Linked DNA regions of Oreochromis niloticus. The protein of the gene in region 3 purifies or fractionates together with the protein of the main gene of each other region. This does not show direct contact. Links are inferred from orthologs where the notes say so. Each region holds a gene or a part of one and is shown on either strand. Other genes may lie near its edges.

Evidence for each region.
Region 1: the proteins of wdr24 (region 3) and nprl3 purify together in Homo sapiens (affinity purification with western blotting; 6 studies listed by BioGRID and IntAct, with this or other methods). This does not show direct contact. The link is inferred for Oreochromis niloticus from reciprocal best matches to the Homo sapiens genes WDR24 and NPRL3.
Region 2: the proteins of wdr24 (region 3) and sec13 purify together in Homo sapiens (affinity purification with mass spectrometry; 5 studies listed by BioGRID and IntAct, counting the BioPlex papers as one, with this or other methods). This does not show direct contact. The link is inferred for Oreochromis niloticus from reciprocal best matches to the Homo sapiens genes WDR24 and SEC13.

What each region holds. Positions count from the first base shown.
Region 1 is NC_031969.2:24,429,943-24,437,495, reverse strand, and holds the start of nprl3 (GATOR1 complex protein NPRL3), read right to left. Parts: upstream 3,401-7,553; 5' UTR 3,164-3,400; coding exon 2,968-3,163; intron 2,054-2,967; coding exon 1,984-2,053; intron 293-1,983; coding exon 254-292; intron 1-253. Other genes in the region: hemoglobin subunit beta-A, read right to left, coding at 7,268-7,399, 7,484-7,553. UniProt on the Homo sapiens protein: As a component of the GATOR1 complex functions as an inhibitor of the amino acid-sensing branch of the mTORC1 pathway.
Region 2 is NC_031970.2:4,864,791-4,872,239, reverse strand, and holds the start of sec13 (protein SEC13 homolog), read right to left. Parts: upstream 3,401-7,449; 5' UTR 3,188-3,400; coding exon 3,185-3,187; intron 2,986-3,184; coding exon 2,941-2,985; intron 554-2,940; coding exon 438-553; intron 1-437. Other genes in the region: cand2 (cullin-associated NEDD8-dissociated protein 2), read left to right, coding at 5,867-5,934, 6,920-7,063. UniProt on the Homo sapiens protein: Functions as a component of the nuclear pore complex (NPC) and the COPII coat. At the endoplasmic reticulum, SEC13 is involved in the biogenesis of COPII-coated vesicles.
Region 3 is NC_031973.2:19,294,045-19,302,577, reverse strand, and holds the start of wdr24 (GATOR2 complex protein WDR24), read right to left. Parts: upstream 3,183-8,533; 5' UTR 3,072-3,182; intron 1,385-3,071; 5' UTR 1,381-1,384; coding exon 900-1,380; intron 464-899; coding exon 286-463; intron 142-285; coding exon 1-141. Other genes in the region: uncharacterized protein zgc:112496, read left to right, coding at 3,376-3,500, 3,752-3,845, 4,919-5,078, 5,266-5,418, 5,610-5,791. UniProt on the Homo sapiens protein: Catalytic component of the GATOR2 complex, a multiprotein complex that acts as an activator of the amino acid-sensing branch of the mTORC1 signaling pathway. The GATOR2 complex indirectly activates mTORC1 through the inhibition of the GATOR1 subcomplex.

The sequences.
Region 1 (7,553 bases), on a different chromosome or scaffold from region 3:
GAACTGTGTTCTTTAAAGCTTACTACATGCTAGAGGTAATATAAACAATACAGACTAAAGCTTCAACGATAGCCTTAAACTCATTTTTTGTAAAAACCAAAGCACTGATTCATTCTTGTACGATGTTTTAAAAGGATTGTGTACTTAGATCAGGGTTGGAGATCCATATAAGACACAAAATAGGAAAGAAGGGGATAAAAAGACAGGGGTGATCTAAGCGAAGGAAAGGTGGTTTAGAATGATTTCGTCTTACCCTGCTACCAACTGTTCGTCAGTTAGTGGAGATTGCTCTCTGAAATGGGGATTGGGCCACAAAAAAGAAGAAAAAAAAACAAACAAAAGGGAAAATGCAACACACAGTTGGGCTAAATGCATAAAAATGGACATCAAAACAAGCCGAACAAACATGTGATAGTGTGATGTGAAAACACTGGTGTGCTGAAGTCCTAATACCAGCAGTGCTGGTTTGTAAGCTTATATACCCGCCTCAAAGGGTTTTCAAGGTAACTAAGTTTGTAATAAAATATGACAGTACAATAAAATAAGTCTGAACTAGGTCATGATTACATACATCTTTGTACATGTATGGCTTCAAATAATTTTAAATGCTGCCGGTGGGAAGTAATAGAATATATATCAGAAATGTCGTAATCCTGTGGTCCATGCCAATCCTTATTTTCCACTCTACTGATGTTTATGACACAACAGGAAATACAAGCAAAATGTTTTATTTCCACTGTTTATTTTCTTATTTTTGTTCTGCTAAATTAGTCTGAAAAATTCCTACACTACCTGCCCAATATCTATGGCATGTTTCACGTCATAAACACCAAATGAAAGCTGCTCTTATGCAATTGAACGGCACTGCTTGCTTTAATAAAGCTAATAATAACAAAATAACGTAAATAAAGGTTGAATGAATAGGTTATTTTACAGACTTATCTGAACATTATACAGCTATTGACACATATGTGGCATCACTGTGAAGCAGTTTTACTCTTTTGTTTTACTCAGTAGATAAAGAAGTGCTCCCGCTAAATTCAGAACGTGACTGCTGGTGTAGTTACTGCCTTGATGGAACCTTACTAGCATGAAAGACAAAATAGAAACTCATCTTAAGATGCACATTAGGGGATTACATACACTCACTACCCACTATACTACATACACTTGTTCAGCTGCTTGTTAATGCAAATATCTAAACAGCCAATCACATGGCAGCAACTCACTGCATTTAGGCATACAGACAGAGTCAAGTCAACCTGCACAACCAACTCTAGCATTTACACAGAATGGTCTAAAGCCGAGAAAATGTTAAGTAAGTGGTGCTTTTCTGGGTGAAAATGCTTTGTTGGTGCCAGAGGACAAAGGAGAATGGACAAACTATTTTGAGCTTAGACCCAAGGCATGCAGAAGAGCGTCGCTAAAAGCACAGCACATCTAACCTTTAAACAGATGGAAAATGGGTCCAATCCATTACTAGCAAGGTGTACCTAATAAAGTGGCCAGTGAGTGTATCTCTTAGCAGCTGGGAAAAAGAGTGTCTATCCAAACAGCACCTCGGGCTGTGACAAATATTAGGTACAAAGTGAGGTGAATGTTTTTTTGGTTTTTTTTAAAAATATCATATACTGAACTGTTTTACTCAATTATATTTTTAGTTTAATAAAGTTTATTAAAGGTCACACAATTAATTTAAATCAGTGGTTCTCAACAGCTCAATGTTTTCAATAATCCTAGCTTAACCTAATAGTTTTTCCTAGTAATCCACACTCTCCCACAGTTTGAGAACCACTGATTTAAACTGTGTGTCAGCATCTATAATATTGCTGAAAAACAAAAAGTGTGTCTAGATGAGGGAAAAAAGATTACAAGCATGATGGAGGAAAACATAATGAGCTTAAGAAGCTCATTTGGATCTCAGAATGAAACAGTAAGTTGAATAATACATTAAAAAAAAGTAAATGAAGATTGTAGAAATACCTTGAATCACCATCCTGGTCATCGAGCTCATCCCCAGATGTGTTCAGCACATATGGATTCCGCTGTTTTGCTTGTGGACAGATATCAGTGAGAGTTAGTCATTATGAAAATACATATTAGATTCACAACAAAAACAAGAACCACTGTGAATCTGACTTCAACTCACTGATCATAAAACTGTGTTAGAGAGACACATGCTTTTGCTGCCCTAGTTCATGCCCCTGTTCCTAGTAAAAGCCTCTCAGCACCAGTACTGTGCCAGTATTTGCCAAAAACACAATTACTGGTATTTAAAGTGCTGTAAATAACTTCATGGCCTACAGTCTCAAAGATATCGCTCATGAATGATATGACATCATTCTGAGCCAGAAAGAACAGTCCTATCACAAGGTAGAACTTTTATATATCTTTGAATTATCCAGTTAAAAAGTGTGATTAAAATGCATTTTTAAGAGGACCCTGGGCCAGTCCTTATCTAGAACACAGAGTAGGTGCAATAACGCTGAGTCATACAGATACTGGCAACACAGGTAAATTCTTTATTTTATATAAAATCCTGTTCGGAAATCTTTTTGACTGCAGCCTATTTGCAATTATAAGAAAAGTTATTAGGCATAAAAGACACACAGGAACAACTGCAATGACGTTTTGGCGCAACACCAGCAACAAGAGCAACTTGTGAATGAACAAAAGTACATCAAATTCATGTGCCACATAAAACTCATCCAACAACAACAATCTGAGAGGCCAAAAAAGGGAAACTTCAAGAAAGAGGAACAAATAGACCCGATCCGCAGAAAAAAAAAAAAGGCAATCGGCGGTTCCAAAGTCGACAATCACAACAAAAAGGGGCTGTTGGTTTGCCCTGGATTACACTGCTGCTTTATTATCTCCTGTAAATATGTAATTACGTGGAAGTGACACCGGGTTATCTGTGTGTGCGTAAATGTTTATGTTTCTGCTTCGTGCTAATGCTACGCCTACCTGAGAGAGATGACGGACACTCAGCGACCTTTTGGTAGGGATATCGAAAAAGGAGTTTGTTCCCTCGGCTTCCAGAGCTAACCAGTATGACGCTAATAGGACTGGTTTTGTCGCCGCATTTGTATGCACTACTTTGGGACTGAGGGTACAAGGACTTTCGGTCATCTGGTAGACCGACTGACGGGTTGAGCATCATGTTAGCATTCTAGCTAACTCCTCAGTTAGCTTCGACCAGACAGGAAGCGTTATCTTGCTTCACTTCAACCTGGTATTAACACCAGTGTTTGCCATACAAAGACACCGACCTGAGACAAATTATAGTCTGACTAAAATTAACTATAAAGCCTTGATATTATACCCTACCGCACATCCATCCACCACTGTTGGGATTGTTTTGTGTCACTGTGAAAACTGTTCGGCTGAAACAAAGAGGGCAGATATCATATCCTTCCGCTACAACTTAATCTACTGCCTCACTCACCGTGATTTCTATAGATTTTGCTTCCAAGGAGCGAGACTTTCTTGAATTATTGTTATTAATATTTTTGAATTAGTCTTGAGCAATAGATCTCCAGGATTTATGAGGGTATTTTGAAGTTTTCCTTTGCACATTGACTGACTTTTCACTCACTTTTAGTCCCTCAGACTAACTTAACGTTGAGCTATGAAGACCCAATCTAAGACATGAACCAGTGCTGTGTCAACACATTACAAATAACCTAAATGAACTCCTAATTAACTACCGCAGATCTCATCAGCATGAAAAGCAAGAAATTACTCTCTGAGTCAGAAAAAACACTTTGAGAATCTTTTGAAAAAAAAGTTGTCAGGAATATATCATTTAGAGGATGCATATGCAGGACAACGACAGCCCAAGAAACCAAATATAGCTCAGAGAGAGAGAGTTTGTGTGGGACAATGTGGGACATGTTACTAATGCTTCAAGGTGATTGTAAATTGCTGTTTATCTTAATTTGAGAAGTATAATATAATAATAGATACACAAACAACTGTGAAGGACAATGTAATACAATCCTCCACTCCTCTTATAAGTCAAAGTTGTTTTATTTAATGATTTAATTCATATATTTATTTGTTTATTCTTATTTATTTATACAAGCATGAGTTCATTTTCTATTGCCATAACTTTCTCTTCTGTACCATTTTTGTGAGATGTGCTAATTTTAATAAAAACGCTATTATACTTCTTTTTTTTTTTTTTTTTTTTTTTAAAATAAAAAAGTACCTCATAAAGTGGCACACCAGGTCGCTCGATTTTCATGGGATTCCTAAAAAGTATATTTGTAGATGCCAACAGGACAGGGAGACATGAAATAGTCACAATAAACAGATGTTGCCATGCATATGTACATGAAATGCACTGCAATAAACACTCATTGGCCACTTCATTAGGTACATCTTGCTAGTACTAAGTTGGACTTCCTTTTACCTTCATAACTGCATTAATTCTTCATGGCATAAATTCAACAAGATGCTGGAAACGTTCCTCAAAGATTTTTGCCTTTCCATCACAACATCACACAGTAGGTGTGTGATCGATGATGTGAATCTCTCTTTCCACTACATCCCAAAGCTACTGTGTTGGATTGGGATCTGGTGACTGTGGACCCCACTTAAGTGCAGTAGGCTCACTGTAATCTTCAAGAAACCAGTTTGAATTTATTTGAGCTTTTTGACCTGCAGGAAGCAAATTTGGAGCCTGTCTTCTCAATGCTGGAAATTGTTTTGTGCTTTGATTGTGCCTTCATCCACAAATTGAGGCATGTGGATGAATGAAAGCCAGAATGAAAGGGATGACTCTTCAGGCTCAAGCCCTAGTGATGAAGATGAGGACAACATTTTTAGCAGCTAGAGGTATCCAATCAGGCAGTGGCGGTCCTAGCCTGTTTGGCGCCCTGGGCGAATACTCCCTCTCCCATTATCCAATGACACATCTGCTTACCTGTATATTTTGCTCGTTTCTCCTCCTCTTCTTTTCTCTTTTTTCTAAACTGAGCACCTGATGGCTTTGAACTTTTCTTGTCCATCTTCCATTGGTTTTAATTTTGCACTCCAGTATGAACACCCATCCCCCAACCTGAGGATCACCACAACATGATCTAATACACCTACACCTTAGTTCACAGATTCACTTTGTCTAAGGTGCATTTCTGAGATTTCACACATCCCAGGATTCAAATCATGAATACATAATGGGCTTGGATTTACAACATTATAAATGAAATGTGCTCTATTTGGAAGCAGCCAGCCCCTTCCCCTTTGTTGTGTGTGAGACTTTAAATCATCAAACTGTAAATTTTAAATTGTTATTGATCCCTTTAGCCCTAGTCCTAAAGTGTATATTTATTTTCTTACTCTTCTTATATTTATTGTTTGTTTACTTGCACTGCTGTAACTGGAGCCTCGTCGTCTCGTCTCTCTATATACTGGACTGTATGTAGCGCAGATGACAATAAAGTTTACTTTGACTTCAGCAGCAGGCACACCGAGGGCTCTCGCGCTCACTTTTCGTGTATAGAATTTCGAAAAAACATCGGTGCAAATTATAAGTCTGTATAATAATGTCTGGTGTTTTCGTGTTTGTTGGTTTGTTTTTATTTTGTTTTATTTTGCGAGTTGGTTATTAGATGCTGCTCCAGCCAGCCAGAGAATCCCCCGCCGCCCCGCCCTCTCCTCCCTGTGCCGCAAGCAGCAGGCGCACCTCGCAAACGAAGGGCGCCCTTACTCCCAGCAAATGGGCGATAGAAAACCCATCGGTGCCTATGCCATAACCAATATGCGCTGGCTGACGTCGGAGAGCAGCATGAGTACGAGCTTCTTTTTTTTTTTTTTCGATGCCCGTGATGCCGCCCCACCACGATGCCGCCCCGGGCAACCGCCCGTGTCGCCCGTATCTAAAACCGCTACTGCAATCAGGATGGTTTTGTGGAGTAGGAAAAGGATGACGATGAAATGGTAAAAGTCCAAACGAGATATCCAGGAACTGAATTGTTTCTAAAACCTATTTTCATTTCTTGTCCGTTTTTCTTTTCTTTCTTTTCTTTTAACAACAACAATAATAATAATAATCATAATAATAATAACAAAAATTTAATTTATAAAGCGCCTTTCAAGACACCCAAGGACACTTTACAATTAGATAAAACACATAATGGAAAAATGACAAAATGAAGAACAATAAAACAAAAGCACAAGATAAAATTAACAAACAGTGGGTTCACAGTGAATATGCAGATTTGAACAGATGGGTTTTGAGTTGAGATTTAAACTGGGGGAGATTCTTTTTAAATCTCTATATGGATCGGGATATGATTAAGTCTGAAAACAAAACACAAATAACCTTTTCCCCTGTTTTGCACAGCATTTGTAATCCGCTCTAATTTTAGTTAATCTTAACTCTATAAAACAAGGACTCGTCAATGTCAAATTTGATCCACTAGATGACGTATTTGGGCGACTGTGGGTGCTTTGACTTTAGATCCAGAAGAAGATGATGGATGGATGCATGGATTGCACTCTCTTTATTCTCCATTTTGAATATCACGTGAGTATAGGAACTCTGTTTATTCACTTGGATGCATTTAGAGCTGCACTATAATCCCCAGCGGACGCCTACAGAAATAAAGCACATTTTAACAGTGGTAAGTTTGTTTGTTCAAAAATAATAAGGGGATACGCATGAAGATTTTTGTAAGATCTTCTGTCATAAAGTACTAAAAGACCCGGGCACCCGGTGTGTATCCGTTCCAAAACTTTCAACCGCGCCCTCACGATATGTGACACACTGTTCTTATAAATTTCAGAAAACCACTCCCTTTTATATCAAACTGCACATTTTTAAAGAAGCCAGAATAACCGTTCTCCCTGGCAAAGATAAGAAATAAATTACTGTAAATAACTCACAACAAATATACAATTTGCTGACTCACAAGGGCACACACCTTATTCTCACCACCCTGGCACTTTTCCAGGTGATCATACTACAACAGGTTGTAGCCACTTTATTGCATTTCATTTTTCTATGCAACAGTTTCAAAGCAGGAATTAATATTGTTTTTTAAGACAAAATTAAAATGACACTAAATGAGTCTTAGTGTTGTATTGTCGGGTATAAGAACACCTTAAATGATCGCACAGAGAATGAGTTTGATTTGAGTTTTTTTTTTATTTTTTATTTTTTATTTTTATTAGTGCATATGGCAACAGAGTTAAAGAGATATGATTTTACAATCACGCTTATAACTGTTGCACATCTTTGATGAACTGGCACTCCAGAAATTTAGTGGTACTGTCTACCCAGGGCAGAAACGACCACGGCCAAAAACTTCTGCCAGGCTTCCTGGGCGTCAGCGGTGAAGACGCTGGGACCAAACTTAGCGGCCACACACAGGCTGATGCATTCAGCGAGCACCTAAGATGAGAGAGTTGCACAAAATTAACGAATTGCTTCAGATGTAATAGTGATAAATGTTTCTGGGTGCTGGTGGGGACATACCCTGAAGTTATCGGGATCCACGTGGAGCTTCTCAGAGTGCATAACGCTCAGTTTGGCGTAGGTCTGCTTG
Region 2 (7,449 bases), on a different chromosome or scaffold from region 3:
ATGTTGCTGAAACAACAAAATAATAAGAAAAATAAATCTATCTGATCGAGAAATCACTCATCTTTGGAAAAGAGAGTTTACTACAGAGAAATGTCTCTTTCCAAAATAAAAGCTATACTATATGTTTCTTCTGGGGTATATTCTCAGCAGTGGGGGAGGTTCAATTTCGGGGAGCTTTGAGGCAGTTGCCATGTTGCAACGAACTTAGCTTCTGTCTTGCTAGCTTCCGCTGCGCTCAGTGGATCTGCACTCAACAGTGCAAATCCACTGAGCGCTCAACACAGACAGCATCATCAAAAGAAAAGTTGATAAAATAAATAAAAAATGTTCTATTGTTCGATACATATGCGAACCGAACCGAAAGCACTGTATCGAACGGTTCATTATAGATGCGAGTATTGTTGCACCCCTAGATATGAGCCAGCCCTACTTCTTACCCTCTGAGGTCTGCCACAAGGATCTGCCCTCCGTTTCTGACGTCAAAGATCTTGACGGTGCGGTCAGAAGAACAGGTGGCGAGCCGAGTCCCGTAGTAGTCCATCTGGGCATCGTGCTGAAACAGACAGAGCAAAATGTAAAAACCTGAGTGAGAACCTCCACCTCTACCTTTCAATTTAAACAATATTTTATTATTTTATATTTTATTAATATTTTCATTCTCATGGTGATTGTTCAGTTTAAACATCATCTAACAGAAAATAAAAAGGATAAATGCTGCAACAATGATTTAGTCAAAAGAAAATACTTTATTCTCTTAAAAGGGATAGTTCGGATACTGAGGAGCTTTTGCACATCTTCTTTTGCTGGAGAATCAGCCTTAAATCTAAATAATGTGCTTTCAGTGGCTGTAGTCAGCAGCCAAAAGCAGCCGGACTGTCCTTTCCAACAGGGAAATGAAGCCATATCTATGAATGTACTGTATTCAAAACCGGCTTTGACACAAACAGTGTCGTTACCTCATTGAACATGTTGGTCTACCACTGCCCTCTTCAGTTAGTTAATGTTATTGTGTCCCTTTCATGTTTTTGAGGTGTTACTTCAGATAAACATGTGTAAAACACAAAAGTCCTACAGCAAATGTACAGGTTACAGTTTATAACCTGCACAAAAGTAAAGCTAAGTCAAGTTCAAATGTATCTGTGGCAACAGTCACAGGGTATCAGTGGCAAGTTGTTAATGATTTGTTTCTGAAATTATTATTTTAATAGCCTTTGCCAAAGATGGAGCTCAGCTCAATGTGCTTTATCATGTATGACTTAATGATCACAAACAACAGTGAAAATCACTGTTTGTGTGAATTAACACAAAACAGGTTCAGAGTGGGCTGATGATGTTCTGCTGTGTGTCGTCACCCACTGACAATCCTGGTTTTATTGTTAATTTAATCAACTCAAATGTTCTTTTATATGTAATTTAGTATAGTAGTCTGGACTTTATGAAACATAGTGACATATAAAGTCATGTGAAAAAAAGTCAGTTTAAAAAAAACTTTAAGTAGATCTTTAAAATAAACTTAGTACACCCTATTGTTTCTATGAGACGCTACATGTATCGGCCAACATCGGTTAAATGCACAAGAGAGCACAACTGAACAAGTCTGGTTTGCTTGGAAAAAGCCTCATCTCTCCCTAAAGAACATGGTAGCACTTCTGGGATAATGTTCTTTGGACAGACAAGATCAGGTGTAGAAGTCTGGTGAAAACCAAACTCAGCAAAATGGTTAAGAGGTGCCGATTTGGGCTTGCTGTGCAGCCACTGCACATGGAAACCCTGCAGTTACAAGTCGACCATAAACTCCTCTGTATACCAAAGTATTCTATTTATTATTTATTTATTTATAAAGCACATTTAATAACAACAGAGAGTTGACCAAAGTGCTGTACAACGTAATAATTAAACAGTGGCATTAACATCAACAACAGGTAAGAAAATTAAAAGAAAATTAGGATAAAAAGAATTGGTGACTCTCATGCAGTATAAAAAGCCAAAGCGAAAAAATATGTTTTAAGATGGGATTTAAAAAGACTGACAGTTGGGGCCTTTCTAATGTGGAGAGGTAGATCGTTCCACGTTTTCGATGCCACAACCACAAATGCCCAATTCCCTCTATGAACCATCCTAGACTTGTGTAAGGTAAGGAGTAAATGATCACTTGATCAAAGGCCTCTAGAGGACATATAAAGCTGCAAAAGGTCAGACAAATAGTCTGGTGCCTGACAATTTAGCACTTATTAAGTCAAAAGTAAGATTTTAAATTTAATTTTCATTTTGCACTGGAAGCCAATGAAGGGAAGCAAGCACCAGGGTAAAATGTTGGTGTCTCTTCACACGAGTCAAAAGACAGGCTGCAGCATTTTGTACAAATTGGAGCCGTGCCAAACTGGACTGACTGACACCAACATAAAGCGAATTACAGTAATCCAGTTGAAATAAGGCAAACGCATAGATTGCTCCTTCCAAGTTTTTAAAGGATAAAAATAATCTCACCTCGAATAAGAGCCTTAATTTTTTTTTTTTTTTTTAAAAGGACCGCTGAACAACTGAATAAATTTGTTTCTCAAATCTAATTTTGTTATCCAAGAAAACCCCCAGATATTTTTTATTCTAGAGTCAAATGTGAAGTCATCAGTCCGAGAGCTAAAACTGAAAGAGGGTCATGAATTAGGACAATGATCCTAAAAGAACAGTATCAGTCTCTGATGATCAGCTAGCAGTGTCAGATCGCAGCAATGTTAGTTTGTTACAACTGGGTTTAAAGACAATGGATGACACGTTACAGTGATAATACTTACTGACGTTTCATTGTACACATGTTTGTATCTCTAGTTATCACGCGTAAAAGCTCACTTACAGGTATTTAAAACAAGAAGGCTAACATCAGCTGTGATTAGCAACTAGTTTGGGTTAAATAAAAAAGGGGAAAAAAACTGGAAAACTTACAATCATGTCCTCATGAGAGGTGTCCACGGTGTTAATGACGGAAACCTGAAATGAACAAACATTATATAATCACAAATACTGCACATTAATTAAAATGTTCATTGATTTTCCTGCTACTACTAGCCACTTTGCTAAGGAGCTACTAGGACTTGGGCACGTCAGCAGCTAACGGTAACCGGGAAAATGCCACAAACGTCAGCGAGCAGCTTCACCGGTGGCCTAAATGCAAAGTTATCAAACTCACCATGACCGTGACTGACACAGAAACCCCGAACAACACGAGTAATCCTCCTTTATAAGAAAAAAGAAACCCGGCTTCACCGACTACTCCGACGTGGCAACAAGTAAGATAACCGTTTCCCACCGAGTCCCACCGCACATCATACCGGCGGAAATAACAACCAGTAAACAAGGGTTCCGCATAAGCGTCTGACGAGCTAACCTTAACCTTATTTAGAAGCTAAATATGAACACATTCTAAATAAATTAAAATCCGATCCCTCCTAGATTAGTGAAAACATTTCAAAAAGTTACATTTTCTCCTTTTGAATGGAATGGAACATACAAATACATATATATATATGTATATACATATATATATATATATATATATATATATATATATATATATATATATATATATATATATATATATATATATATATATATATATATACAGTTAAGCCCATAATTATTCATACCCCTGCCAAATTTTGGCTTAAAGTTACTTTTGTTCAACAAGCAAGTTCTTTTTTGAGCAGAAATGACACAGGTGTCTCCCCAAAGATAATAAGACGATGTACAAGAGGCATCATTGTGGAAAAAAATATTTCTCAGGTTTTATTTATATTTTAGCAAAAAGTATCATGTCCAGAATTATTCATACCCTTCTCAATAATCAATAGAAAAGTTTTTATTGGCTATTACAGCAATCAAACGCTTCCTATAATTGCAGACCCGCTTTCTGCATGTCTCCACAGGCATTTTTGCCCATTCATCTTTAGCAATGAGCTCCAAATCTTTCAGGTTGGACGGTCTTCTTGCCATCACCCTGATCTTTAGCTCCCTCCACAGATTCTGAATTGGATTCAAGTCAGGACTCTGGCTAGGCCACTGCAAAACGTTAATGTTGGTGTCTGCTAACCATTTCTTCACCATGTTTGCTGTATGTTTTGGGTCATTGTCGTGCTGAAATGTCCACTGGTTCCCAAGGCCAAGTTTTTCTGCAGACTGCCTGATGTTGTTGTTGAGAATCTTCATGTATTGCTCTTTTTTCATGGTGCTGTTTACTGTGATTAGGTTCCATGGTCCATTGGCTAAAAAACACCCCCAAAGCATTAGGTTCCCACCACCATGTTTGACAGTGGGGATGGTGTTCTGTGGGTTGAAGGCTTCTCCTTTTTTATGCCAAATGAAGGCAACATCATTGTGACCAAATAATTCAATTTTTGTTTCATCTGACCATAACACTGAAGACCAGAAACCTTCTTCTTTGTCCAGATGAGCATTTGCAAAGGCCAAACGAGCTTTGGCATGCCTTAGAAGTGCCTGGAGAAGTGGCGTTTTCCTTGGTCTGCATCCGTGGAACCCAACAGTGTCCGTTGGACTGTCTGCCTTGAGACATTGCCACCAGCAGAGCCCAGATTCACCAGAATGGCCTTGGTGGTGATCCTTGGATTCTTTTTCACCTCTCTCACTATCCTCCTGGCCAGCACAGGTTTCACTTTTGGCTTCCGACAACGTCCTCTGAGATTTTCCACAGTGCGGAACATCTTGTATTTTTTAATAATACTTTGCACTGTAGCCACTGGAACTTGAAAACATTTGGACATGGCCTTGTAGCCCATTCCTCACTTGTGAGCAGCCACAATGCACAGCTGCAGGTCCTCACTGAGTTCCTTTGTCTTAGCCATGAATGTCCACAGACCACCTGCAGAGAGCTGCTGTTTTTCACCTGTTGAGTTGAGTAAAACAGCTATTTCCAATTAATCAGGGTAATTAGGATGCTTTAGAACAGCTTTGACTATTTGGAATGGTATGGAACTTTGGATTTTCCCAGAGACTGTGACAGTTTGTAAAGGGTATGAATAATTCTGGACATGATACTTTTTGCTCAAATGTAAATAAAAGCTGAGAAATATTTTTTTCCACAATGATGCGTCTTGTACATCATCTTATTATCTTTTGTGATACGCCTGTGTCATTTCCAGTCAAAAAATAACTTGCTGGTTGAATAAAAGTAATTTTAAGTCAAAATTTGCCAGGGGTATGAATAATTATGGGCTTAACTGTATGTATAATATACAAATATCTCTTTCATTAAATATGGTCTGTTTCTTGTCCTAAGTTTGTCTTTTTTTGTCAAATGACTCTGTTTTTGAATAATAATGATAATACTACTACTACTAATAATAATAATAATAATAATTATTATTATTTTTATTATTATCGTTGCCAGGAAAGGTGAAGAACACAGTTAACCCAAACTTTTGCTGCATGTGTTAGTTATCAATAAAGTTGAGGAGAAAAAAATCTAAACGGGTACTGTAATTGTTGTTGAATTTGTTTATCAATAAAGGTGGGATCAAATTCCAAACGGTTAATACTAACCGATAACCGTCGGCGTTTTTTTCGGCAAATTAACGTAAAAATAAGACTTGAAACTCGGTTTATCGGCACATTACCGCCTCCGTATGGCCGGTCGGACTCCGTGTGTCCACACGGCGGCGCCACAAAGCTGAACCACTGTCCCCTGCCGTCTATTTTTGTCCGGGCACGCCGAGTGTCGGGTTCCATCGGGCCGTCAGCTCTCCTCTCTGCCCCCCCTAGCCTCGCCATGTTGTCGGCTTAAATCTGGTGGCAAGTTTTCTGAGTTTACCGTAGAAAAAAAACTTTTTCTCAGCCTGAGTGACTAAACAGTGGAAAGATGTCGAGTGTGTCCTACCACATCTCCAACCTGTTGGAGAAAATGACCTCCACTGACAAAGACTTCAGGTAAGAAACAGTGAGCAGTTCTCACAGTGAGATGACACTTTTTTAAAACCACGACTTGTGTGTGCCATTTTACCACACAGGAGACAATAGTGCCCTCTATACAGTCTTAATTACTTTTATTTAATCGACACATCATTTATTAGTTTTCTCTACCTGAAAACAAAAATCAATTTTAACAAATTTACCTAACCAAGGTTACGTTTTCATAAAAAACTCCAAATGTTATATTAATATTATTGACTAATTTAATCATTATCAAAATATGTTTGTAAATATCTGTCTAACCCTAACCCTGTGTCGGCTGTGATTTTTTTAAAGCATCAAATACTCAATTTCAGAAATTGGAAGTAGGGATTTTTTGCTAACATGATAAATTCATGATCTAAATTGTTTTATATTTTGAGAAAGTGAGTCGTTGTTGTCCAGGTAGATAGCAGTAGGTTCAAGAATGTTGGAGATTTTTGTTATTGTTTTATTTTGTCTTAAAAATCTTTTAATACATTGCAAAATATCTTTGGAGATGTTTTTAACACAACACATATTGGGTTTACTGTCATGTGTGACCAAGGAAAGTATATTCTGCAACTGTTTTACATGTTTTGATAACTCTTTGAGTGTTATTAACACATCTATAAGCCAACAACAACACAAGTATAGATTTGAATTACTTAATATACCAACCTCTACCTTTCTCCTTGTTGTCATTGAATTGATGAGTTAAATATTTATTGGACAAGTAATGTGCACATCTTTACTGAAAGACCACAATTGTAACAGAAGTGGCGAAAAAAGCATCTAATTAAATGTTACAATTGAAAATCTGGATTAATAATTAAAGAATAAATAGACATCTAAACAAATCGATACACTTAATTCATTATTTGACCCTTTTTTGAGGCAGTAATGAAAAGAAGGATCACTGAAGGGATTCACAGATCAGTTTATTAACTTTGGTCTCTATGTGTGTGTGTGTGTGTGCGTGCAGGTTCATGGCCACCAATGACCTGATGCTGGAGCTGCAGAAGGACAGCATTAAGCTGGACGAGGACAGCGAGAGAAGAGTTGTGACCATGCTGCTCAAACTGCTGGAAGACAAGAATGGGGAGGTGCAGAACCTGGCTGTGAAATGGTAAAAATCACACTCGTACGCACAGTGTGAACCGGTTTAGTTCATGTAAACTGTATTTTATTTATCCAGATTTATTTTTGGATTCCTACAAAGGTGCTCTTTGTAACTATCCTCTGTGGAAGGGTTAGCTAAGTTTAACCACCAGAGGGCTGCATTTTTACCTAACCCTTGAGTTATAGACTATTTTAAGTTTTGCTGTATCATCTACTCCCATTTACTTGAGAGTCTGTTTCTGGTGACTTTTGTCTGTTGAATAAAGGTAATGGAAAGTCACAACATTATATCAAAGTTCAGCGTGGGGAGCCTCCCACTATTACCAAAGTGCTTGATCATAGGGGGTCATGTGATTGTTGGGTTTTTCTCTGTATGTATTATTGTAGGGTCTA
Region 3 (8,533 bases):
AAATGAAACTTTCTCTCAGGTCGCCATTTAACTCGTGCCACTGAAGCAATCGTCTGGACGCAGTAGATCTCCTTGGCTCTGTTAGTGGTCATGTCCCAAACCTTCACCATCTTGTCCCTGCCCCCCGTTGCCAGCCAACCCCTAAAATGAAATGAGGTGAAAGGCGACAACTGTAATACACCTGGCTTCAAAAAAATGGGTCTACTGCTCTACAAGGTTACAAAAAACATGTTAGCAAGGAAAGGCTGAAATTTCTTATTTCATGTCTCATATTTCTTGTCTTACCTGTCATCAGGATGCCAGTCACAGCAAAACACCGGACCTGTGTGAGCAGTGAACATTCTCTCATAGCGGTCCGGTCGTCTAATGTCCCACAGCTGCACGTTGCCATTTTCAAAGGATGCGGCGAATGTGAAATAATCCTTCATGCTGAACTGGACGTCCCTTACACTCTCTGACTGACCTAGAAGAAACAGGGGAAGTTAAGGGATGACAGCATTACTTCTGACAAGTGAAAAAGACTTCATCACATTAGGTGAACCATAAAAGTGTTATTAGTTCAGTATCATTAGTCTAAAACTGGAGTTAACTCCTTCTTCATTAAATCACTCTTCCTGTAAAGAAAAAAAAGGTCTTTCTTTAATTACATGGTTTGATTTTCACTGTTTAGTGAGAAATTCTACATTTTGTATCTCTCTACCACAACTACAGCAATCCAACCCTTTACAGCTTTGAACCACAGACATCAAAGGTGTCAGTTTAGAGGGCGTTCTGTAGTGTACGCATTGTAAAGTTCTCACTTCACATATTCTCAACATATTAAGAAGAAACAGCGCTACTGTTTCATGCAAAGACTTACTTTACATTACACATGAAAGAGTTGTTGCAAACTAAATTACCTGAGAAAGTGCTCACAGACTCCTTCTTGCGCAGGTCGAAGCACTTCATGAAGCCGTCCTGTGAACCACTTAGCAGCATGTAAACCTCTGTTGGGTGGAAGCACACCTTGTTGACGGTGCGCTTGTGCTCAGTAAACAGCTGGTCCTGCTTGTTGCGAGAGGGTTTTCCCAGATTCCACGTTACCACCGCCCCGTTGGTGGCCGCCGTGGCCAGCAGGTTCTCCTCCATCTGATGCCACATGACATCGGCGCAGCTGAAGTTCAGCGACGGTTTGCGGCCGACACGGAGATTCAGTTTTTCCACAAACTGCTCCTCCTCGAGTGCGTAGATCTTAAAAATGTTCCGTCCTGCTACAACCACCTGCGTGGCATCACGGCACACGCTGATGGCGTTAGCCGGCGCGTCCAAGTGGCAGAACATGGTTCTGCCACTGATCGCATTGCTGCCAAGAGCTGTGGTGACCCTTGACATTTTTTCCATGTTTCTGTTGCAAAAATAATGATAATAATAGTAAAGATAATATACTTTGTCCACGCTATCAGGTCAAACCCAGTTAATGTGACATGAGGCATTAGGTAGAGAACTACAAATACAAACTTACAATAAGGCTGTTAGACGCCACCAGCAGGTGGCACTCAAGCAAAATAATAAGTTAGAGTTATACAGCACTTCCTAGACTGGGTGGCAGCATGTCACAAATCAATAATGAACTGTGTCATATGTATGTCATCTGTTAGTTAAACTTGTGTAACAGCTTATTAATGCAAATATCTAATCAGCCAATGGCAGCAACTCAGTGAACTGAGGCATGTTGTTTTGTTGGAGATGACCAGCTGCAGTTCAAACTGAGCATGAGAATGGGACAGAAAGTGGATTTAAACGACTTTAAATGTGGCATTGTTAGTGGTGCCAGACAGGCTGGTCTAAGTATTTCTGAAACTGCTGACCTGCTGGGATTTTCAAGGGTTTAAAGAAAATGGTCTGAAAAATAAAAACTACCAAGTGAGCGACACTCTGGGTGAAGATTACTTGTTGGTGTCAGAGGATAATAATCAGAGTGGTCTGAGCTCATAGGAAGGAAACAGTATGTGAAATAACATCCAACACAACTAGACCATGCGGAAGAGCATCTCTGAATGTACAACACATCGAACCTTGAAGCAGCAGAAGACCACTAACCCTGAGTACCACTGCTGTCATAAAAGAACAAGAAACTGAGGCTACAATTCAAATTCAACCAGGCTCACAAAATCAGTCTCAATTTCTGCTTTTACATTTAGATGGTAGGGTCAGAATTTGGCATGGATCCAGCCTGCCTTGTACCAAAGCTTTAGCCTGGTGGTGGTCTAATCGGTGTGGGGGATTTTTTTGGCACACTTTGTTTCCACAGTCACCAGATCTCCGTGTACTAGAGCACCTGTTCAATCCGCAGCGACTCTGTGATGCTATCATGTCAATATGGACCAACATCTCAGAGAAATCTTTTCAGCACCTTCTGACTCTATGCCACTTTTAATTAAAGCACCTCTGAAGCAGAAATGGGTTCCAAACCGGTAATAGCAAGGTGCACCTAATAAAGTGGCCGGTGAATGTTTATAGAATGCAATGACATTCTGAAATGTTGCAGTGTAATCGCACTACCCGACACGTTATTGCTTTAAGTGCATGCAGTTTCTAAATACTCTTACGTATCCTGCTTTTAGTACAAGCTCATCCTGTGGGTTTGTTTGATCTACTCATCCTCTTACAACTTGTAGCCGCTTGGTGCTCACGTGATTTACTCCACCAAGTAACATAAACACACACTAGCTGGCAATGTGGCCAGTGTTTATGCATACTAACACTTTAACCGTTCACCTTCTTAATGCCACGTGTTGTTGGTGTTTATAATTTGTCTTTACACATCTATTTGTGACTAGTAATCGGCTTGTAGTTTACGCGTCTCCTGCTGAGTTGGCCACAAGCTGCAGAACTCTCTGTACTTTGACCATAAACATGACTGGAATGACATGCTAGTGCTAGCTGGCTAGCACCAGTCGCCGCGCAGGTTTGCAAAGACAAAGCGCAAACGCTACAAGTATTTAAACAGTCTGACAGATAATTAAAAAATCTATCAAATTAAGAAAATTCACGCGCTTAAAGTAAAACACAAACAACTTCTAAGGACAAACCTTGTGCTGTGAAGCTCGCCTTCTTGCAGCACCGGAAGTAGTATTTTGTTATCATCTCGCGGGATTTCCGTCTGAAATAACAGAAGCAACCATCACGCGGCAAAAACTTACTACTGAGCAGACATTAGAAACGATCTGGGTGGGTTTGTTTTTATGTCGTGTACTTCAAAATAAACGTGACATTTTCTGATCACCGCAATACATTAGGGCGAAAACAACACTTGTTAAGCGTAATGTTATTTATTTGGCTGTGTGAAATAAATGCTTCTGTGTTTGCAGGTGATGGTGTGAGCTTTCTGCTGTCATGAGCGCTCTGTTTGCCTGTGAGGAGCCAGCCGCATGGAGGAAGGTGTATGAGAAATACTGGGATGTAGTGGAGGCCAAGGCCAAAGTCAAGAAACCTGGGAAGCTGCTGGACCTTGAGCGGTGGTAATCCCCTATTCCACCTTTTTATCCATGTCAGCTGCGATTTAAAAGTCTGCAGAAAGCTGCAAGCGGACCTGAAGTTGGGGTTGTATAGTGGATACCTTCTGACCTGGTTTTACCACAATTTCCTCTTGATGCCTGTTAATTTAAAATTGAATGTGCTTTTTTAAATTGAATTGAACTTGGATGAGTTGGCTTTGCTTTGACTGTAAGATGAAAGGTACACAGATCCTAATCAGTGTCTGTGTGATCAGGTACCAACAGGAGCTGCCCTCACTGATTTCAAGTCGGCCTGACAAACATGTCTCTCTATCAGAGCTAAAGAAACTGATGGAGTGGAAGCTCACTGTGAGTAATTATTTCTGGACTCTAAATCAAAAATGAAAACTTGACATTCAGGTGTGATTAGAGGTTTACATCCCTTCATTGTGGGCTTGAATGTCATGGTGATTTTTAATTCTTTGGACTGTTCTTTTTTCCAGGGTGGAATGATTGCACATAGTACATCATCGTTATTGACTTAAAAAAAAAAAGAACATTGTGTACAAGTGAAATTATTTTGGATTTTCACTTGCCCACACAGGGTCAAGATTATACATACACCCCCACTAATATTTGGTTAAATGTCAACCTCAACCAGATGCTTCTGGCATAATTCTGGCTGAATATTTAATCACTCTTCCTAGCAGAATTGGTAGAGTTCATTTAAATTAGTTGGCTTCCTGGCACAGTCCCTGCTTTTTAATTCAATTTTATTTATATAGCACCAAATCACAGCAACATTCGCCTTAATGCACTTTATATTGTAAAGACTCTACAATAATACAAAGAAAACAGAGAGAGCCCCAACCGTCATATGACTGCCTCTATGAGCAAGCATTTTGGCAACAGTGGGAAAGAAAAACTCCATTTTAACAGGAAGAAATCTCCAGCATAAGATAACCCCACCTTTAGATACCTCTTGTGCTCTTGTTATTGTGACCAAATAGCTCAAGCTTTGCCTTGACTGACCGTAAAACTTTTCTTTAAAAGGCATTTGGCTGGTCCATGTGGGTGGCTACAAATTTCAGTTGAGTTTGAAAGTGCTGACTTTGAGGCAGATCTTGTTTTTTAAAATCATTAAAGATGTATGCTATACAATCATTACATCCTGGGAAAACAACAGTTCAAAGTAATCATTAAAAATCCAAAATCACCATGACATTTATGCCCATAGTGAGTGTGTGTAAAAGTCTGAGTACTTCTGTATGTTTCCTCAGCACTTGCCTCCTTTACAAGTGCATCTGTCTCACACATTTCAACCACATGCACCAGTAATTACTCCTTCAAACACATAGCGTAGCTTTGAAATAGCATGAAGAGTCCTAAAGCACTCCCTTCATCAGATGTGTCCTTGAGTGGCCCTGTGGGCTTGTCTGCAGAGAGGGAAGTTCAGGCCGAGGCTGCAGCAGCTGGTGGCTTCCAACAGCGAGGACGAGGTGGAGAAATGTTCCAGAAAGGCCTTCAGCCTTCTGCCTGACGTGCAGGCCGCCATTGCAGAGCTCAGCTCCCTGAAAGGAGTCGGCCCAGCCACTGCTTCAGGTCGGCACACCATCTTTTCTGGGATATGAAGACAAACGTATGAAAATTTCTCTGTGATCCTCTCCAAGTTTACAGAACAGTGCTTAGATCGAGTAGGCTGGAACTCTCTGTACTCTGTGTAGAAAAATATATGCACTTGTTGGCTGCGTTCAGCGTAGCTTGAGGCTGACTGTCCATTTTGTTCCAGCTGTGTTAGCAGCGGGAGCTCCAGAACAGGCTGCGTTCATGTCTGATGAAGCCATGGAGAGCGTACCGGGACTGAAGCCCATCCAGTACACCGCCAAGCACTACACCGTGTACCTGGAAAAGATGACTGAGAGGACCGAAAAAATAAACAGAGGTAATGACACCAAACTGGTTACGTCATCATCTGCAGTACAGACACTACTCATTAAAATACCACATTGGCCTGTGTTTAATGTGCTGTTTTAATGCCTTTATTATATATGTGAATGGTCATGTTGTGTAAAAGTGCTTTACCAAAAAGGGAAGAAAAAAAAAAAGGCTTTTGTATTGCCTCTCGCCCCTCAGTGGATCCGCTGCAGGACTGGACGCCCCACAGGCTGGAGCTGTGTTTGTGGGCGATGAGCATAGCCACACAGCTGCAGCTCCAACTTCTAAAGGACATCGATGTGAGGGGGAGCGCAGTGGGGAAGAAGTGCTCCGACAGTGAAGCTGACCAGAGACCAACAAAGAAACTCAAATCTGCATAAAACCGAACATTTTACATGAATGCCGATTTAAAATTTGTAGTTTTTTCCTTTTCCCAAAATAATAATAAAACCTTTTTGTGGTGAAGTGTTGCGGATCGACTAATCCATCACGCGTCTCGGTTAAATAACGTCAAAAGCAGTAGGATGTTGCCACAGTATTGTTCTTTATTTATATTGTTTCTAAATTAAAGCAAAGTACAATGAACAGTACAAAATAAAACAAAATATATTCATATATATACACAATATAAAATGGTTCCGTTCAGAACATTTAAAAAGTACAATAGATTGTGAAATCATTAATGAGGACTTTGATATAAATTATCCATAGGTAAATTTAGTTGTCCTTCAATTTCCTCTTGACAGAGAGGAAAAAAAAATAGCTTCTTCTGCTTGTTCTTTTTGTAAACGCTGTGTTGGTACAACCTCTTGTCTGGGTCTGAGAGGCTGAACCTCGTAAGCTTGGCACCATTTTATAGATACGAGTAAGCAGCTCATGAGAAACTACCAGAGCAGCGCAGGTACGACTTTTGTCATCCTAAACTGTGGGAGGGGTTCGACTCTTGCTTTATGAAATGACATGTTTGCATGATATCGTGTGGCTCAGCATTTGCGATCATACTAAAGCTAGAAAATGAGGTTTCAGCAGTGTTCCCTCCTCTCCATCTTTTGTTCCATCTGTACTCTAAGACAGACTTCACTAATGAGTTTGCAAGTGTATCTTAAATTCTAGCAGCTAGGTGGGCCCTGACTATCATTTTCTTTTGTATCAATATTGAGATTAATATGGGAAATCAAACTAAATATCTTTTGGGGCCCTTTAAGAACCTTTACCAAGTCTCCTAAGGGTTTAAATGTAAGCACTGGTGAGTATCCACTCACTCTTGTTTGTAGATCAGCTACAGTGCTATATCTAAGCAGAACTAAACACACAGAAAAGGCGACCTGGCCGGCCTGTTGTGGCACACAGCAGTTCAGAGGAGCTACTGGACACACGGATATTTGCACTGTGGTTTCCGTCTCTTATGGATTCTCTGCATCATCGTGTAGGCGGCTGACAGCAAAGCAGCCTTTCTGCCTGGTGCTTTGCTTTGAGCTCGTATATGTAACAAGGCATTGGGCGTACAGCACGATGGATTGGCATAGGAAGGTTAAAGGAAAAAGCTTCAGGAGAATGATTATGTCAGATGAGACTATGGCACACAGCAACGTGTCAGTTAAGTACATTATAAGAAGTGCAAAAACAAAACACTTGTGACAAAAACCAAGAAGTCAGAAACAGCCAGTGTCGAGTATGAAGCTATAAAGTTGCATTTTGAATGAGGCGAGTAGAAACTTTTAGCCTGATCTCATAACGCAGTCATCGTGACCGTATCGAGACAATTCGGGGGAGGACGTGGATCATCTGTAGTGATGGATTATAGGCTGCTCGCGCCATCCCTCACAGAGACTTCCTGCCGACTGTCGAAAACAACTACGTCACCTAACGACAGCAATTAAATTAACATCATGCCGCCTTGTCAGATCCACTTATTAAAGGAAGACATCCTGTTTAGGGTCTGGCTTAGGGATCTCTGGTTGGCGTGGCAACCATGTATCAGCCCTACTCTGCACAGGGAGGGGGGTCAGGATGGGGGAAGCTTCAGGTGTCTCTCACAAACTGTCACATGCTGTCAGAGCGAGAGTGTCCCCTCCTTTAAGATGAGCTGGAGGATGTAAAGCAGGGGCAGCTAAGGAGGCGAATCCAGGTGTGTTGTTGCTGCGATTGGCTCAGGCTTGGGCCAGGAGAGTTGGCTTACAGGAAACTGGTAAATTAATCCTAAAAACTTCTCTCTACACCTACTTGGTTTTTTCTTTTCCTGCCAATGCTATTGAACGCTTTGCTCTTGAAATAAATAAATTCAAACACTAGCCGTTTCACTTTGTTCCTGCATCTAGTTCTGGGAGTGGTTATATTCACAGTTGACGTGTTCTACAAAAACATAGCCATTGACTAGCCCTTTTTACAACCCTTTCGGGTTCCTATGAATCTTAAGTTAAAGAGGCACATTAACCTCCTCTCAGCCATCCGCTTTATCTTCATTATAGGCTAACAGGGTATGTATGCATTATTCATCAACACATCTTTGCTATCCCAAGCAGTAATATTTCCTAGTCAACACATCAGGGAGTTTCCATCAGGGATACATCGCTATCAACTACTGGCTGACCTTGTCTTGTTTAAATGTATCTGAAAATGGCTTATTATGGCTATTTCACACCCATTCCCTCATTTAACATGGAGTCCTCTGTCACTACTGACAGTTTCATGTGGAAGCAAACGCTGAGGACGGCCAACTGTCAAGACTGGCAAATGCTAAAAAAATTTTTTTTCCTCCCTCAGGCAGCCAGTGGACATTCAAATGAATTATTGATTGAAAGACTGAAAAATGGAACGTAGCATTGAGTAAATATAATTGCCATCCTCGCCTCGGCTTTCCAAAAAGCCCGAATCACTCAGGAGATAAAATATATGACAGGAGCCCTGTCCATAATTTGTTATTTGCAGAAGAGGAACTGCGGAGAAGCGTCCGCACGCCGCAAGGGGGAAGAGAGTCTGGGAGATGTGGGCACTTGCAGAATTAAGCTGCATCGGCTGCAAACGAATTGGCGAACAAGTTATAAATAAAAAGGAAAAAGAAAATGAGTCTAGCTACATGAAAATATCTCAAACAGTCCAAGGTTTCACAGGCGTGTCTTCTT